Ovis aries: one gene and its partners. The protein of the gene in region 2 interacts with the protein of the main gene of each other region in a pairwise test. Links are inferred from orthologs where the notes say so. Each region holds a gene or a part of one and is shown on either strand. Other genes may lie near its edges.

The links.
Region 1: the proteins of POLR2L (region 2) and REL interact in binary tests that used the Homo sapiens proteins (3 or more experiments, as listed by UniProt). The two-hybrid records come from large-scale screens. The link is inferred for Ovis aries from reciprocal best matches to the Homo sapiens genes POLR2L and REL.
Region 3: the proteins of POLR2L (region 2) and RPAP1 interact in binary tests that used the Homo sapiens proteins (3 or more experiments, as listed by UniProt). The link is inferred for Ovis aries from reciprocal best matches to the Homo sapiens genes POLR2L and RPAP1.

Annotation. Positions count from the first base shown.
Region 1 is NC_056056.1:63,129,163-63,133,595, forward strand, and holds the start of REL (proto-oncogene c-Rel), read right to left. Parts: upstream 2,820-4,433; 5' UTR 2,504-2,819; coding exon 2,494-2,503; intron 1-2,493. UniProt on the Homo sapiens protein: Proto-oncogene that may play a role in differentiation and lymphopoiesis.
Region 2 is NC_056074.1:46,915,114-46,918,713, reverse strand, and holds POLR2L (DNA-directed RNA polymerases I, II, and III subunit RPABC5), read right to left. Parts: upstream 2,397-3,600; 5' UTR 2,363-2,396; coding exon 2,268-2,362; intron 885-2,267; coding exon 776-884; 3' UTR 627-775; downstream 1-626. UniProt on the Homo sapiens protein: DNA-dependent RNA polymerase catalyzes the transcription of DNA into RNA using the four ribonucleoside triphosphates as substrates.
Region 3 is NC_056060.1:35,150,740-35,154,381, forward strand, and holds part of RPAP1 (RNA polymerase II-associated protein 1), read right to left. Parts: coding exon 3,606-3,642; intron 3,453-3,605; coding exon 3,251-3,452; intron 2,829-3,250; coding exon 2,719-2,828; intron 2,490-2,718; coding exon 2,294-2,489; intron 2,123-2,293; coding exon 1,970-2,122; intron 1,772-1,969; coding exon 1,626-1,771; intron 1,057-1,625; coding exon 300-1,056; intron 1-299. UniProt on the Homo sapiens protein: Forms an interface between the RNA polymerase II enzyme and chaperone/scaffolding protein, suggesting that it is required to connect RNA polymerase II to regulators of protein complex formation.

The DNA of each region.
Region 1 (4,433 bases), on a different chromosome or scaffold from region 2:
ATATTCCAATTTAAAAAATAATAATTTTTAAAACTGTAAGTAAAAATAAATTATCTAAATTTGAATACATATTTTACCAAAGACAGTACTATTTATTAGTAAACAAAGCACACAAAAACATTTGCACCTTCTACTGGAATAAGGAGAAGCTTTAAATTCAGACCAAAAAATAGCTAATTTTATTTACCTTAAAACAGATTAGAATCATAAATATACAAGAGTAAGGACTGCTTATGTATACCTTGGATGGGACTGAGAACTTCTTTTTAATGCCTATCCTAATTAACTGTGTCAAAAGAATGGAATCAAGGTGTAATTAAAAAAAAAAAGTAATCAAGACAGCTTGATAGAACTCAAGCTGTGAAATCCTAAATATGACAGTTTAACTGAACAAAATTTAGAATCATACATATAGTCCCAGTTATTCATAGTACTTATATAATTTTATTTATGAGATTATGATGTTACTGTCATATTATACAGACCATATATTCAACTACAGACACCTATTTACATATAACATCCGGTGAGAAATGAAGAAACAGTCTTAAATGCTTGGTAATCAATAAAAATACTTTCTGAGGTTTTTATACTCTGTACTACAAACTATAAACTAGACAATGGTAAACTAAGCAGAAGTTTTTTTCAGTTACTCTTTTGCTTAAATTACTGTTTCAAAACAGGATGGGAGCTTATAATTTTGTGAATCTTTTTCTCTAAGATTTTTACAAATGATTAAGGAAAGTACACCCAGATTTTTCCTTAGTAGTTTTCAAACAACAGAATTACAATTTAAATAACTTGTTACATTTTAAATAGTGTCATTTTAATATAATTCCAGAAAAGGGGAGGGTGATAATTACCCTTTAAAATTTTCCCCCCTCAATTTAGGAAATCAGTCCTCTCACTAAGACAAAAACAAATGTCAGTTTTAAACAAGTTTAAATTGTACCACATTTTTAAATGATGTGGGTCTTACAATAGTCCATATAAATGGCTAATTCTTCTTTCTCTCTTTTGAATGGATTACAAGTGTTACATTCACACCATATATCAACAAAGTTTGGTTAAATTACCAGAAGGCTGATTTTTCTGTTTACTTTATTATGCTAACCATTCTTTAACTTTCATACAAAATCCTTCTGAGAGTCAATAAATTAACCAAGTGTTTCAATCATCTTTGCACTTTTAATCTCAACATGGTCTGAATTTATGAATTTACAAGATTATCTGAAAGTTTAGGGTCACTGAAGTGGCTAAAGAGAAAGTTGAAATATTTTAAACTACATTTGTATTCTCACAGAAAACCACAGACAAACTGAAATCAAATGTCATGTGAACCACCCCAATTTCCTTTTTGGCCTAGAGCAGTAGCTACCTCTTTGTTCTGCTCAACCCTGTTTTTAAAAAAAAAAAGTCCTTTATGCTTTCTACTTCCTCTTCTCTGGTAGTCCTCAGTTTTCTACTGTGGGTCACTGAACCAGGGTGTTGGGAGGATGCAGGTCAAACATAAACAAGCCTCCTTCTTCAGCCTCCTGTTGTCTTCAGCCTCTGCGTTAATCCACACTTTAGGCCTCCTTGCCTCTGCTCACTCTTGCAGGGAAGGTGCCTCCAAGAACCGTGACAGACTCCTGTGAAGGTCCCACTCCAAAGCAGCCTACTTGATTTAGTAACCCTTAGGTTGCAGGCTAACCTAAACCACAGCTGGATGGGGAGGCTCCCTCCCGCATCCTTTAAGCAGTTTCTAGGTAAAGCAAGAGATCCCCGCATTTACTGTCTACAAATAAGTATTCACGTAAGTGACAGAAAGTTTTCATTCTCACCCGTTACTTTAAAGCACGGGGATCCTAAAAATCCTCTTTTCCCCTTCCTTCCAACAAAAGAGAACAAAACTCGATTTCTGCTCCATAAATTAAAAAGTACGCACTTTACAGTAAAAATGATCCACTTGTTGAAGCAACATTTCCACTTAAGACTTGTTAAAATACCACTGGTGATTTTTAAAGGCGCGTCACATTTGTCCAACTGTCAGCACAACTGCGATCACCTCTTGGCAACTGATGAAACTGAACTTAAAAAAAGATAAGCTCTCCTGAGACCGGAAGGTTCCTCATTCCTATTCTAAAACGAAACACCACCATTTCAACTTAAATCAATTTAAAAATACGGGAACTCTTTCGTCCTCCTTTATTTAGATTCTTATTACTTCCTTAATCCAAAAACAAAGTCTTCTGGAAGGTCTAAGGTTCCGGCTATTACAATGGCATCAAGTTACAGAGCGTGACTTCGATTTCGCACGCAAACCCTGAACCAGGTCACTTTTAAAAGGCTGACAAACTTACCAGAGGCGATTTTAAAAACAGAATGAGACATAACCAAAACTGGGCCCCCGAAACCCTGAGTAGTTAGATCCTCGGACGCACTCCTTCGCTCCCCGCTGTCCGGGACCCTGCCCACGCCCGGCCGTCGGTAGCCCGCGCCGGGAACACTCACCTGAGGCCATTGCTCCGCTCACAGCGCCGCCCCGCTCCGAGCGTCCGGACCGGAGGCCGCTACAGTCACTCAGCCCGTCAGTCGGGCCGCCCAGGGACCTCTGCTGGCGGGATCCCCAGTCCCCCTGACCACCCCCGGGCCTCCTCCTCCTCCTCCTTCCCGCCCTCCTCTGGATTTGCGGCTCACACCTTCCCACCCGCTTAATCCTCGCGCTCCGGTCACCCGGCGTCGCTCGTCCAGGTGGCAGAAGCCAGAAGACGGAGCGCAGCTACAGCGGAGAGCAGGTCTGCCTGAGAGGCGGACAGCCCAGCGGGAGGGGGACTTCCAGAGACTGACGTAGGATCCCTCACCTCCGTACCCCGGGGCGGGGGCGGGGGCGGAGGCGGAGCGTCCTGCGACCGGCGCGCGAGCGTCCGCCGACCGCTGCCGGGCCCCGTCCCGCCCATGCCCCGCCCACCCGCCCGTCTCCTGAATGCCGGGTGGGCTCGGGAACCGGTCGGGGAAGCTGCCTCTCCGGGAACGTAGGGAACGCTGGGAGCCGGGGAGTGACGGCCCCGAGCGTGCGAAAGCCGCCGGTCCCCGAGAAATCCCCCTCCTCCAGGATGTTCTTGGGCGCGTGGCTTAAAGTTCAGGAGGGGTGGGAGGGTGCGGTGACGTCGAGAAGGGCCGGCTGCCCTCCCGCGAGCACTTCGGGGCGGGCCCTCCCCTCCCAGGCTAGGGGGAACGACGGTCGGGGTTTTCGTTGGGTGGTTCCCCCTCTTCCCTCTGTCGCACATGCAAATCTCCGCCCCCGGACCGGCGGGCGGCGCAGCGCGGGCGTCCCGGAGCGCCCTCGAGGGGAAGTGCGGAAGCTGCCGCGGCCTCGGTGAGCCTGTAATTCAGGTATTTGCATACGGGGACCCCCGCAGTCTGATATACCTTTGCAACATCTCCTTTGTGAGGACTCTGTTAACGTACTTGACAAACTAAAAAACTTTTCAAGCTAGTAAGGTCCGCAGTGTGAGTTCGTTTCCTCGTTACTCAGTGCTCCAAGTTAATGAAGTGGACACCCCATTGGGATTTGACAGACTCACAAGGAAAGGACGAACGTGTAGCATCAGAATCTAGGATAACTTTTGTTTCCTTCCTGTATAAAGAATTTTGTATGTGTCAGTTTAGTTACCCCCTTTATAATGAATTATTATCCTCATTTTATAGATGAGGCAATCAGGGTTCAGAGAAGTAACTTGCCTGTACATCAGAATGCTAGTAAGAAAGAACAGTTTAAACTCAAGGTTTCGGACTCCAGAACTCCGTGCTCTTTCCACTTTCCTTTACCGTTTAAAATAAGTATGGAGGGGCAATGGGAGCTATCAGCCATACAAGTGCCCAAACTGGAGGCCCCAGTTGGGAAATAATTAAAAATAAACTCTCCTGTCACCACCCCCAACCAAAGCATCCTTTCCACAAAATATAGAAAACAATGAAACAGTTTTATGATTAGCATAAGCCGTAAACCATATTGTGATGCACTTAAGAGACCGCAAAGAGAAAAAGGAAATCTCACTCGTTTATATCATCAGATAGATGCAATCAACTACAATGCCTGTTGTCTTTCTCCCAAGGGAAAATAATCGGAATTACATCTTGGAGCTAAAACTCGAGGTTGAAACTCCCAGAGATAGGTAGCCAGGGCCCCATCTTCCTTGATGTTCAGATTTCAAAGGGATAGCTCCAAGACCCCCAAGAAAGATCTTAAGGGGGTGCAAAACCTGCAAGAAGCTTATTTGGCTTTTTAAAAGGTGTACAGAATTCGTTAACAGTTTCCTTTTTTTCTAAAAGCATTGCTAAATGAAAAGAGAGGAAAATGTTTTCTGTTCTTTTTGACGCTAGGCAGAGTTTTCAGTGTAATCATTTTAGACTTGTATTTACCCTTACCACCCCAAACGTCAGGGCTATGT
Region 2 (3,600 bases):
TCTAAGCTGCTGGAGGCACCAGGGCCTGCCTGAGCCCCGCCAAAGCAACAGCTTCTGGTTTGAAGCCTCAGCCTAAGCTGGACCGCGATGAGCTGCCCCCCACCCCCGCCCCCGCCAGACAGCTCTCTAGTTGGTTTTCAGGGCAACGCATTTAACGCCTGGGCACTGAGAGCCCATTCAGAACAGATGCCCAGGAGAGCTGCCTCAGGGCACCTCCCACCTGCTGTGGGGTCTCAGGGGTGGAGTGGAGCTGCCTGCCTGCTGTGGGTGGAGCCTGGAAGCTTCTGGCGGCAGCAACCTCAGGATGCGCAGCTGTGACCACAGGGAGCACTCCACTCAGAGCGCAGAAAGTCTGGAGCATTAGATACCGGGGGAGGAAGTGGGGACCTCTGTTCTCGGCTGAAGGGCACCCAGAACAGCGCTGTGGGACGCCGGTGCCCCCACCCCAAGCACTCGTGACATCTGTGTCTTCTGTGGGGCCAAGCGCCCACAGAGGAAGGGAGCCCCGTGCTGAGCACTCCCGTATGGAAGGCCCACCCTCCTCCTGGGCCGTGCGGGCCTCGGGCACCAGGTAGAACCCCAGGAACCGGCGGGGCAGCCCACAAACCCAGACCAACTGTTAGGACTTCCTGGCAGTCCTCAGAAACATTTACTAGACAGTTCTTTCCAGGGAGGAAGACCCACGCCAACAGAGCCGTGGGCGGGCGTGGCTTCCGGCGCCCCACACCCCAGGGGAACAAGCCATGGGTGAGACGCCCCCTGCGGCATCGCGGGCTCACTTCTCCAGGGGAGCGTAGTTGAGCAGCTTCTCGATCAGGTCCACGTGGGCAAGCAGCATGCGGCGGCAGCAGTAGCGCTTCAGGCCCAGCGCGTCCAGGGCGTCCCTGCAGGTGGGGAGAGATCTGGCTGCAGCCTGCTCCTCCCGGCAGACAGAGGGCCTCGCCCGGGGGGAGCAGCCCCCCTCACCTCCCAGAGACACGGCCCCAGTCACCCTCAAAGCCTCCTGTGTGTGGGCACCAGCGTGGCACCCATAAAAGGGGCGGCCGCTTGGGCAGCCCTGGCCTGGGGCATCTCGGGGAGGAGTCTGGGGCAGGCTGCCAGCATTCACTCGCACTGTGGTCATTCCAGCAGCCTCCTCGAAGCCTGGTGCAGATACTACGGCCGTCCGTTGCTTCCCTATCCACCCAACACAGCTACACGGAGAACCTCACCTGCTACCACACTCCAGGTCCCAGAGGTTCACACTTTGATAAGGATGGGGCTGTCCACACAAGGACCAAAGTCAGACTCTTGTCTAGGGTAAACTCAGACAAGTAAGGCGGTAACTGCAGTGCCAAGGGGCAAACACGGAAAAGGGACCCCACAAAAGCCTGATGATGACGGCTATGTGATCAGAAGCTTGTCCTATGTACTAAAAAAGCCCGTGAGTCTGCAAGACACGGTTTGTTGTTCAGCCGCTCGGTCGTGTCCGTGACGCCATGGACTGCAGCTCGCTGAGCTCATGTTCTCCTCTATCTCCCAGAGTTTGCTTGAACTCCTGTCCATTGAGCTGCTGATGCTACCTAACCGCGTCCTCCTCTGCCGCTCCTTTCTCCTTTCGCCTTCCATCTTGCCCAGCATCAGTGTCTTTGAGGACACGGGGTGGGCCTAATAGCAGGGAGAACTTAGGGAGCTGACGGACAGAGGTGGCCAGGGGCCTATCTGCGGTGGAGGCGTGGAGCCAGAATACTCGAGTCCCCAGACACCAGCGCTTGACAACTAGCTCCCCTCGTCTGCCTGAACTGGGGGGTGGGAGACGCTTTCCTGAGAGCAGGTCTGGAGAACAGGGCTGGCAAAGGCTCCGGGAATAAAAGCCTTGCCGGCGTCACCTGGGATCTGATGAACGTCCCTTGCTCCTGACCTGGAGACCAAGACCCCTGACTGCCGCCTCAAGACCCCAACCCCTCAAGCCTGGATCCTCGACAGCCGCCCGAGACGCCGACGCCGCAGGCTAGGCCCCCTTGACCCTGCCCCGGGCCCCGCAGGCCGGGGCCCCCGTGTCCTCGCTCCGAGCCCCGCAGGCTGGGAAACCCTCCCCTTAGGCCGGGCGCCCCTGTCCTCGCCCCGGGCCCCGCAGGCCGGGCCCCCGTCCCGCCGCCCCGGGCCCCGCAGGCTGGGAAACCCTCCCCTTAGGCCGGGCGCCCCTGTCCTCGCCCCGGGCCGCGCAGGCTGGGAAACCCTCCCCGCCCCGGGCCCCGCAGGCCGGCGGCCGGGAGCGCGCCCCTCACCCCTCGGTGTACTCGGCCTGCAGCAGGCCCAGGTAGGCCTCCCACTTGTTGCCGACGATCTTGCCACACGTGAAGCAGCGAACGGGGATGATCATGGCGGCGGCGCGGGAGCTAGAAGCTTCGCGGCCCGGCGGCCCGACGCCCGGATCCCCCGGCGCTTCCGCCCCGGCGTGCCCATGGCGCGCCCATGGCGCGGGGGTGCCGGCCCGGCCCGCCCCGTGCACCTCCCCGCGGCCCCGGCGCCGCCGGCATCCGCCTCCCGCCGCGACGGCGGCTCCTCCGGCGGGCGCGGGCCCGGGGGCCGGGGCCCGGGGGCCGGGGCCGGGGGCGGGGCCCGGCGGGAGCCCCCCGCCCGCGCCTTGGTACGTCCCGGCCTACGGCGTCCGCGCGGGGCCGCAAGGGCTCGGCGGCGGCGTTCGCGTTCCTCGTGCCCGGCCGACCGACTCCGCGCGGCGGGCGCGAGGCAGGTACAGCGCCCCTGCCGGGCCGCGGGCGGAGTGCGGCCGGGCCCGCGCGAACTGGGGCCCCGAGCGCAGAGCGCGAGCCGCGTTTCAGCAACAAGTTGCGAGCCGGGTCTGGGGCGCGGAGAGCGGCCGGAGGGGCCGGGCAGGGGGCGGCCTCTCCGCCTGGGGCCGCTGCCCGCGGGCACTCGGGGGTCTCTGCGCAGAGTCCGAGGGACCCTCGAGGTCGCCGCCTGGCCGGGTCGCCTGCACAGTAACGGTCCCGGCCCGGTAGCTGCCCGTATCCCTGCAGGCGGGCGGCGCGGGGCGACCCAGCCGGTGGGGGCTCCGGCCGTCGCCGCGGTCAGCTTGGCCCCCCCTCCTGCCTTCTTCCCGGGGGAGGCGCTGGCGGCCCAGGCTCCAGTCCGCGCTCGGCAGGGGCGGGCGCCAGTGACCCGGGAGCGCCGGCTCTGAGGGTCGGGAGGGCACTCGGGGTGTCTTTTGAGCTGAGACTTAAAGAGGGAGCCGGACAGACACCCGTCCGTGCGGGACAGAAGCTGTGGGAGCTGGAGGCGGTGGGGGTTTAAAGGGAGCGGGGGGGGGGCGGGGGCGGGGGCTGTGTCTCGGGAAGTGGCGAGAGGTGAGCCCCCTGATCCTGTGACTGGCGGCTGGGAGAGGGCTGTGTGCACTGAGAAGCAAGGAAGGCTCCCTGGAGGAGGCGAGCTTTGGGCTGAGGAGGGTGGGCTAGGCACCTAGGCAGGGTCTCCTCATATTTGCTGGCCTGGGGCGTCAGGGTCTCTGGTTGGGGTGGGGGGTGGGGGTGGGCCCACCATGTTGGGTCCCAGGCTTTAGCTCAGAGTCCACCTGGGGTGGGTGGTGGACTCTGACTGTAA
Region 3 (3,642 bases), on a different chromosome or scaffold from region 2:
TCTCTGAATCCTGACTTAACACCTAGAATCTGAATAACTGAGAACTGTATTGGTTTCAGTACATCTCTTGTCTACACTGTAGCACCTCACGAGCAAGGAACAGTGCCACTAATAATAATGAACACCTATGGTATGCCAGTTACCATGATAAACCCTTTTCATGTATTTTCTCATCTCCTCAAAGCCCCCAAGAGGTAAGATAAAGAACCTCAGGCCACCAAAGCACCCCGCTGCTCAGGAGTGCTTCCAAGGCCCAGGACAGGATGACCATGGTTGGCCCTGCTGGGCTGAGAAAGTACCTGGGTCAGTGGCAGGCCCAGAGCTCGCAAGGCACCCACGTGCTCCCCAAAGAGGGCGAGGCGCAAGGTGACGCTGAATCGACGCTGTAGGGGAAGGAGAATCAGAGCCCCAAAGAGGTGGTCCCCAAAAGAGACAGCCTCAAAATGCTCCAGGAAGTTGGCATAGAGGTCCGGGAAAGATGTCAGGCCAGGAAGTGGGCAATCCAGGTTGAGATTTGGTAGGACTTCAGGCTGGCAGAGCCGGGCCAGGAGGGCTGCCACCAGGCGTTGTATTGGGGTCTCCCGGAACAACTCACTGTCCACCAGGAACACACACATGAGCCGCGCCAGGCGGGCAGCAGGAGACACAGCCCAGAGCGCCCGGGGGCGCCAGCTCTCCAGGATGAGCACCCACTGCAGGGCCCGCAGGGCTGTGCCCACAGTGTCAGCAGGAGGGAGCCCCGAGGGGGTGTCTGAGGCCCGGTGGTAGAGTTGAATCAATGGCAGGAAAGGCCAGTCAGTGGGCAGCAGCGGCTCCTTAGGCACAGGGAGCAGCAAGGCTGGGACTCGCCGGAGCTCCCCTCTGTACAAGGCTTGGGAGGCGAGCAGACTAGCCCGGGCCAGTGAGCAGTGGGTCAGGTAGCAGCTGCGGATGCTGGGGAGGTCCTGGCAGGCCTGAGCTAGGAGAGTCCCTCGCCCACATCCAAGGTCTCCGCCGCTTCCTAAGGAGAGCCGGTCAGAGAAGTCAGCTGCCTCCGGACCCCCTGATGCTCCTTCTCTGTAACAGAACCCGAAAACAAAAATGAGGGCAAGAACCCACAAGGCCACCAACTCTCCAGGGCCTCCAAGAGGCTCCCAGGTCCAATCCTGCTGCTTCCTGTCCCCCTAATAACCAGCCACATGGCAGTTAAGAGGACGGACACTAGAGAGAGTTACCTTGGTACTCATTTACAGAACTCTGCCTCGGTTCCCACATAGTAAAATGGGGATGATAATAATGACGATAATACCCATCTCATAGTAAGGGTTAAATAATTACAGACATATAGTTAAGGGGGATGAGACAAAGAGTAAGCACTGAGTAACTGTTAGCTCTACAAGTGTACAGCTAGTTTATAACCATTTTCCAACCATACAGTCACAGAAGTCTCATAATAATACCCTAGTGTGTTATCCTCATTCTCACTTAACTAATAAGGAAACGGAAACTCAAGACAGGCTAAGTGTAATCCATGGAAGAAAGAAAATTAAGCCCAGGTCTTCCGGTTCCCAATTCAGAGCTGCTCTGGCAACCACCACAGCAGCTTTTTGAAAGGGCTGAGTTGATGCTACCAAGCCTGGACTTACGGGAGGAACTCCAGCCGGAACACACAGCTCAGCATCAGCTCATGGGCGAGGTGCTCACTCCCAGGCAGCAGCCGGCCCAGCAGGGCCAAGGCCATGCTGTGACAGAGGACCGCGTCGGTGCCTGACACTGGTGGCTGCAGTGTTGCCTATGGACAGAAAAGGGGGAAGGAGGAAGAGGAGGCAGAGGGGGTGAGGGGGCACGGGGAACAGAAGTGAGGAAGAGAATACGTGCCAATAGGCACAGATTCTGGGCATGTCTTCAGGGAAGTAGGAGCTGCATGGCCTGTTAGCAGCAGCACGTGTTCCAGGGAGGCAGGATGGGGTGGGGGGTTAGGGGCACCCACCGCTCTCTGGGCCAGGGTGAGTGCCAGGTATTGCAGGTGGTACTCGTGGCGCAGGGCCCACGCAGAGAAGGAGGTGAGGTGCGGAGCGGCCACGGGAGACACACATCGCAAGAAATAGTTCTGGAGTCCCGGGGCAGCCAGTACGGTGGCCAGCTGAGGAAGAGTACGTGTGTTCAGATTTGGAAGGTGACTTCGATGCCTTCTGGGGCTCCCCGGCCACCCGTTCCCTGCCAGACTCGGAAGTGAGGGTTTGACAAAACAGGCCTCCTTTCCCCAAGGGGTGCCCTCCCCGACAGTCCTGCAATCTTGGCCCCCAGCACTCACCTGGCCACACAGTCCTTTGTGGATCCGGCCCAGGGTGTTAAGAAGAGACAGGAGGGCCGTGAGGAACGGGAAGGGGGAAGCTGAGCCAGCCAGACTGAGAGGGGGGTGGCCCCCTGCACAGCCCAGTGACACGAGGCTGGAGACAGTTTCAGGGGTCACAGCACAGGACTGTGGGTTGCACAGAGGGGAGCAGCACCTGGAGGCAGAGTGGAGAAGCCAAGGGGGCTCTGGTCTGAGGTGTGCTGGAGTGTCTGCGGCCAAGGCCAGTGTCAAGGTGGCCATGCAGACAGGGCCCATGTTCCCTGGAGCCCCCAGCTGCTGCCTACTAGGGATTCAGGTCTCCCTCAAGCTGAATGGACTCAGGAACCCCACAAGGAGCAAAACTGCCTCCCTTCACCAACCTCCACCACACACATAGTACATACCTCAGGGAATCCCACAGGCTGCCCAGAGAAGGGTGTTTCAGCAGGGGCAGCAGCAGCCCCTCTGACAGGCGCTCCATATCCTGCAGCCAATCCTCTGGGCACAGGCCTGGCTGGAAGACCATGCGACTCAGAGCTGATGGCCCAGGAGCCCCCATCCTCCTATCCTGTGCACTCTGGCTGAGCCTATGATTCCAAGATCCCCAGAGTCAGTGTTTAGAGGCTTCTGCCTTCTGACCCTTCTGGAGGGAGAGAAGACTCTGAGGATGTGCTGGCAGGGTCATGAGAGGGTATAACGGCCGTAGGGAGGCTAAGCTGCTATTTGGGGTTCTCTGGCCTCTACCAACATGGCTCCTTGGAAGCTCTACTGGATGTGAAGGTGCAAAGAGGAAAAATGGTAGGAGGGAAAAGGTGGAGGGCAGGAAAGGTGGCAAGAGGGAGGTGTGGACAGGTGGAGACACGAGAAAGAGGGCAGAATGCTAAGACACAGACGGGGCACCTAGGGCAGGCGGGAAGGCGAGTAGGCAACACGTACCTGCTGGCTCCAGGCCTGGTAGTAGGCATCCAGGAAGAGCAGGCAGGCAGTGGGCACTGGGCCCAGGGCACTCCACATCTCAGGTCTGGGCAGCAACTTCAAGGTCTGTTTGAGACATGGCTCCACGAGAGGCTGGAGCCCAGACACCTGTGTCCAAGTGATTGAGGAAGGGCTGGCCAACAGACTGGCCTCAGCAGAGTAACTACAGGAGAGCCAAAAGGGGCCGGGTGAGGATCTGGCTGCCCGGACTGCCCTCTAGGCTCCGGCCACCCTCTTTCTGTGGAGGAGCCCTCCCACCGATCCCAGAGCTCCCGGCAGGACGACTCTCCACCGGCAGCTCGGGGCCAGGGCCTACCTATTGGGTTCAGGGGCGATGCGGCCGGCTGCCAAGG